Oryctolagus cuniculus: one gene and its partner. The protein of the gene in region 2 purifies or fractionates together with the protein of the main gene of each other region. This does not show direct contact. Links are inferred from orthologs where the notes say so. Each region holds a gene or a part of one and is shown on either strand. Other genes may lie near its edges.

Evidence for each region. The genes of interacting proteins can lie anywhere in the genome.
Region 1: the proteins of TSEN15 (region 2) and TSEN54 purify together in Homo sapiens (affinity purification with mass spectrometry; 4 studies listed by BioGRID and IntAct, counting the BioPlex papers as one, with this or other methods). This does not show direct contact. The link is inferred for Oryctolagus cuniculus from reciprocal best matches to the Homo sapiens genes TSEN15 and TSEN54.

What each region holds. Positions count from the first base shown.
Region 1 is NC_091448.1:5,052,192-5,054,556, forward strand, and holds the end of TSEN54 (tRNA-splicing endonuclease subunit Sen54), read right to left. Parts: coding exon 2,338-2,365; intron 1,869-2,337; coding exon 1,808-1,868; intron 1,524-1,807; coding exon 1,407-1,523; intron 1,039-1,406; coding exon 888-1,038; 3' UTR 563-887; downstream 1-562.
Region 2 is NC_091444.1:1,816,972-1,820,650, reverse strand, and holds the start of TSEN15 (tRNA-splicing endonuclease subunit Sen15), read right to left. Parts: upstream 2,830-3,679; 5' UTR 2,750-2,829; coding exon 2,675-2,749; intron 2,205-2,674; exon of another isoform or gene 1,391-2,204; intron 616-1,390; coding exon 534-615; intron 249-533; coding exon 113-248; intron 1-112. UniProt on the Homo sapiens protein: Non-catalytic subunit of the tRNA-splicing endonuclease complex, a complex responsible for identification and cleavage of the splice sites in pre-tRNA. It cleaves pre-tRNA at the 5' and 3' splice sites to release the intron.

The sequences.
Region 1 (2,365 bases), on a different chromosome or scaffold from region 2:
GGCCCGCCCCGGCTCACCTGCGCGCACCTGGCCGCAGGACAGCACGCCGCGCCCAGTGCCCCGCCGCCTCCTGGAAGAGGAAATAGTTCCCGGAACGCCTGCCAGCCAGACCGGAGGGGCCCCGCGGGCGGCTCCTCCCGAGGGTGCGAGCCCTGGAGACCGCGGTGGACGCTGGGCCGGGCCTCGCCCTCCCGCACCGCGCAGAGGAGTGGTGCTGGGGGCGAGGCCTTCCCTGGGGTGGGCCCCAAACCAGGACCCTCCTCCGTGTCCACTGCGGAGGCCAGCAGCGGCGGGAGTTTCTAGCTCAAGCCAGGGAGAGGATTGGAGAGGCGGGAGCCGAAGGGCTAGAACTGCGCCCCCCGCAGCAGCTGGCAGACCCCCGGGGCGCAGCGTCAAACTAAACCGACCCGGCGCCTCCCGGCCACCCTTGTGTCCTGAGCCGCCCCGCTCTGGTGAAGAGAGGCCCTCCCTCCCTCCGCCGCCCCAAAGCGCGCGCCTCCCAGTGAGTGGCCAAACAGGAGAGGCTGGGGGTCTGTCCGGCATATCCAACCACGCACAAAAATAAAGAGATCCGTTTTTAATGGCTTTGGCTTTATGGCAAGAAGCAGGCACCCTCTCGTTAAAGGCACAGAGTCCTCTCTTCTGGGCCCCCTCCTCTGCCCGGGTCTGAGTTCCGAAGGGGTCCCTGCAAGGCGGCGATCCCGGGTGCGGGCGTTGGCAGCGTGCAGCGGCCAGGCAGGGAGGAGGGGAGTGGTGTCAGGCACCAGGGCCAAGGTCCAGACCACAGGTCAGAGTCCAGGCCCGGGAGGCCGCTGGATGGTCCCTGAGAACAGACAGTCCAGGTCTCCCCAGGGCAGGCTGCAGCCCCTCCGCCCCCAGCCGCGTGGTCAGTGCTCCAGGTCCCTGGGCAGCGTGAAGTCCCTGAAGCTGTAGAAGGAGATGTCGCCATGGTCCACCAGCGCGAAGAGCAGGGGGACGTCCCCGCTCTGGTAGGACAAGCGCTTGAGGCTGCAGAGGTCGGGGACCGGCTCATCGAACCTGCACGGACAAGGGCTGCTCTCAGACCTGACCATCCTGGGCTCTGAGCCCCTCCCAGGCTCCCAGGCAAGGAAGATGGGGGCCAGGGGTGGGGGAGCAAGAATTCTAGCATCTGGGCTCTTCTGCCTGCAAACTGGACACCGGGGAGCCCCCAGCCCTGGGTCTGCAGGGGGCCGGAAGAGAATTCTGAGCCCTGTGCCCACGAACCCCACCGACCTACATCCCTTCTGCTGCACAGGGACCAACGCAGGGGAGAAAGACCTTGTGTGGGCCACTAAACCTCTCCGGACTTCAGCTTCCTCTCAGGCCATCGGCACCCTGGCCAGAGAGCTGGCAGCAGCCTGGGGCGGTGCTCGCCCGGCTCGTACCCGCTAATGCACATCCGGGCATAGGGTTTGCCAGGGTTGTTCTTCCGGAACGTGGCCACGGCGTCAGCCTGGTAAACATCAAAGCTGATCTCCAGGTCCCCGGCCTTGCCCTGCAGCCTGCGGAGATGGGAAACCTCAGGACACAGACTGTCCCCGTCACCCTTCCTGCCCACCACCAGTTCCAGGAAGCCGTGTCCTCTAAGGGGAGGGGCTCCCGACTCCCAGGTTAAACCCACCTGGCGTTGCTCCCCGTGCCCTGGCCGTGAATGGGTACCAGCTGTGGCACGTGGGCAGGGGTCCCTGGCAGGCTCCTCCAGCTCACAACCAACCGCAGGAGCTACATCCCGGCCGCCTACCCCCCAGGGCAAGCAGGGTACCGCGAGCACAGCTCGGACACTCACCGAGCGCCTCCGTCAGCCAGGTGCGCTGTCTGCAGCACAGAGATGTGGTGAAGCACGGCGGCTGCGGAGAGCAAGAGCCAGGGGTGGGCAGGCGGCCAGTCACCCGCGCTCCCGCCATTTCTGCGTCTGCCACCCCCTTTTCCCGGTTAGATTTTCAGTACCTCCGAACCTGTTCATGTGTTTAGCTCAGACCATTCTGGCCCCATTAGGGCCCCGTGCTCAAAATTAAGAGCACAGAGCAAGCCTTCCTCTACCTCCTTGTTCTGCCAAGAGGCGGGAGGAGAGAGGACCACAGCTCACCGGGGGCAGAGGCGCCCACGTCACCGTTTGTGGTTTCAAGGACCGCTTGGCCTGACACACCGCCTCTCCCCCTTGCCGTGCGGGCCCTCTGCTGCCACCCGAGGATCTGGCTGTCCCTGTGGGCTCCTCTATCTTGTGCCTCAACCAGACCTGGCCACTCCACACCCCTTCGGAATCCTGACTCCTCAGCCGTCAGAAGCCTGCCGGGCTGTAGCCGGGGGAGAGGGTACCTGGAGAGTCCGCCTGGCCAGGGCTCAG
Region 2 (3,679 bases):
TGTGGCAGGTTAAGTCGAAGCCTACAACACCAGCATCTCTTGTCCACGGGTTTGAATCCCGGCTGCTTCGCTTCTGAACTGTCGGTTAGCCAAGACCAAAACCCGCGCTCACCTGTTGTGGCTGAGGGAGGCTGTGACGGGCGTGGGCACAATGGTCTGCAAGCCCTCCCCTTCTATCTCCGTGCCGACCAGGCAGATGAGCTGCAGCTCTGGCAGTCCCACGCAGTTCACTTCATGCCAACTTTTACCTGGAAGAGCCGCGTCGAACGGGCAAGACCGCTTATCAAAAGCCAAAGTAAAGGCTCCGAACTTCTATGTGGCAATGTCACCCTTACCCCGGCCTCTTCTCTACTCGTCTAGCGTTTCTGTTACTCAATAATTCCCAACGTAAAAAGATAAGGAAGCTGCAAAACTGCTTGACAAAACTAGCAGCAAATGCATGAGCGACTGCTCACCGTAACGTCAGCGCGGAGATCCCAACCCAGCGCCCGACCCCAGCACGGCCCCAGTCCACACAGAGGTGGGCGGCTTACTCTCCATGAGGTCCAGGAAAACCAAGAACGCTGCGTACACTTGCGTGGCATCTCCCGCATCCAACTCCATCATCTCCAAATACTGGAAATCAAAATGGGGGCGTCAGACGCGGAAGGGAGGCTCGGGTGCCCCTCCAGTGGGCGCGTGTCACTGCACGTGTGCTATCTGCACAGAAGGTAGAGGGCGACGCAGGATGGCATCTGCCTCCGGAGGGTCTGCAGCTGTCAGAACACACAAACTGGGCAAAAACGACCTGTGACCGCGATGGGATGAGACCACACACGGAGCTCCCCTCGGGGTGTGGCCGGTGAGTGACAGAACGGGCCCAAGGCCCTGCCCTTAGAACAAGCAACGCAGAGCCACAGCGAGCAGTCGACAAGGTGAGGGTGAGCCACACGCGTCCGAGACCCGCAGCAGCAGCCGTGGGCTGTCCCGGGGTCTCGTGGGGGCCTGTCACCTGCATGGGGAGACACTGCCGGAACGCCACGCCCCCTCCTCCCCACGCCCGGGAGGTGTCACCGAAGCGGACAAACCAGCTGCAGGGGGAACGCGTCTCCGAGGGGACGCCGAGGCCGCGCGTCCCCGGGCGAGCAGGGCTCGCGCAGGGCGAGCTCCGCGAGGGCGGCTGGGAAGACGGGTGTCAGCGCACAGGTGCAGATCAGGGCTGCCATGCAACCGCAGGCGGGGCCACGCCAGAGGTCCGGATCCTCCGCGCGACGGGGCGCCGAGGGGCTGTGAGCCGGACGGCAGGGGAGTGGTGCCTGCGGGGGCCGCCCTGCCACCACGCTCCACGGACGGACCTAAGTCACTGGCAAACCGAGCCACACAAAGGCAGAGCCGGAAATCAGATACCCACTGGTGTTTATTTCTCCCCGACTGCAGAGTGCGTCCGCTCCGAAGCTTGCTGTCCAGGTCTACAGAGCGCAGGTCTGCACACGGACCCGCACTGCACCCGGCCGGGCCTCTTCACAACCGACTGAGCGGACTCAGTGAGAAAAGTGCTGGGCAGGAAACGCTAAGTCCCTCAGTTCTCTGCGGAACTCGGCCTCCACGCTCAGTCTATCACGGCCTGCACTGGAGGCTGAGCCTGGGGCTGGCTCTGTGCACACCGCAGGAAGCCACGACCACGGGCCACCAGGCCACTGACCACCGGCCAAGTGGCCGGCATCCTGCAGCCCCAGCCACTGCACTCATCCGGGGAGTGAACGGTGGAGGGTCGGGTCTCCCTCTCCCTCTCTCTAACTCTTCCAAATAAACGGTAAAGTCTCTAAAGACAGAGTTACAGAGAGAGGGGTCTTCCATCCGCTGGTTCACTCCTCCAATGGCTGCAACAGCCAGAGCTGTGCCCATCTGAAGCCAGGAGCTTCTTCCCGGTCTCCCACGCGGGTGCAGGGCCCAAGCCCCTGGGCCATCCTCCACTGCTTTCCCAGGCCACAGCAGAGAGCAGCCGGGACTCGAACCGGCGCCCATATGGGAGGCCAGGGCTTTAACCGGCTGCGCCACAGCGCCGGCCCCAGTCTTAAGAAACGTAAAAGAGCGAGCTGAGTGACCAGCACGGCCACTCCCCGCGGCAGACGCCTGACCAACAGCCACCGACCTAAGCCGGAGGAGCCCCACGCGGTGCGCGCCGTGGTCACCCCGTTTCTCAGGGGGAGACCCCCAACACCGCGCCGCCCTGGGTGCGGGGGAGAGGGGGAGGGGGCGAGGGCGGGGGAGGGGGCGAGGGCGAGGGCGGGGGGCGGGGGCGGGACTCGGCACACGGGGCAACCGGCCCTCCCGACCTCGCGGGCCCATCGCCACCCGCACGGCTCCCCGGCCGCGTCCCCGCCCACGCGACACCCCGCACGGCTCCCCGGCCGCGTCCCCGCCCACGCGACACCCCGCACGGCTCCCCGGCCGCGTCCCCGCCCACGCGACACCCCGCATGGCTCCCGGCCGCGTCCCCGCCCACGCGACACCCCGCACGGCTCACCGGCCGCGTCCCCGCCCACGCGACACCCCGCATGGCTCCCGGCCGCGTCCCCGCCCACGCGACACCCCGCACGGCTCACCGGCCGCGTCCCCGCCCACGCGCCACCCCGCACGGCTCCCGGCCGCGTCTCCGCCCACGCGTGAGAGGAGCCCGCGCCCGGCCCCTCACCTTGGGGTGGCTGCCGATCCAGGCGTCCTCGGGGGCCCACGGGCGAGCGCCGCCGTCGCCGCCGCGCTCCGCCATGGCGCGCCGCGCTGCACCGACCCGCGCGCCTGGCTCCGCCTCCCGGCTGCGCACGTGCGGCCCGCGGCTGGGGCCGCGCGCCGGGCTCCGCCTCCAGTGCACGCGGATCGGCGTCCGGCCGGGAGCACGGGCCTCGCGCCTGGGTTCCGCTGCCCCCGCAGCCCGCCCGGACCGGAAGTCGCAGACGCCTCCCGGCGTCGCCGCGTTTCCTCAGAGCCGGGCCGAGTCCCGCGTGAGGCGGCCGCCGCGGCGCTCAGAGCCCGCGTCCGGGGATGCGGGGAGCGGATGAGGGGCCGCGTCCCCAGGAGCGGGGAAGCGGCCTGAGGAGAGGGCGGTCGCCGGCCCGGCGCCGCTGCGGGGTGCAGCGCGGGAGCCTGGGAGGAAGGGGCCGCGGGGCGGGCGGCTCGGAACCCAGAGGCCCAGGCCGGACCCAGGCCGGACGGGACGTCTCCTTCCGGACTCGGCAGGCCCTGGGCACGAGGCCCAGCAGGAAGCCGCCAGAACTCCCGGGCATAGTGCGCCGGGCCACCGCCTAGGGGTGCGGGAAGCGAGCGGGACGACGGGGGGCGCACGCCTGCCCAGGAGAGCCCCAGCTCGCGGGCCAGAGCCGCCGGAGTGCGCGTGGGAAAGTGGAGCAGGATACACGCTGGGGGAAGGAGTGCCAACCCCGGGCCTCCCACGGAGAGTCACGGGACACGGACGCCGGGGGGAGCAGCAGGGCCACCCCTGAGCCTCCCCACGGAGAGTCACGGGACACGGACGCCGGGGGGAGCAGCAGGGCCACCCCTGAGCCTCCCCACGGAGAGTCACGGGACACGGACGCCGGGGGGAGCAGCAGGGCCACCCCTGAGCCTCCCCACGGAGAGTCACGGGACACGGACGCCGGGGGGAGCAGCAGGGCCACCCCTGAGCCTCCCCACGCGGAGTCAC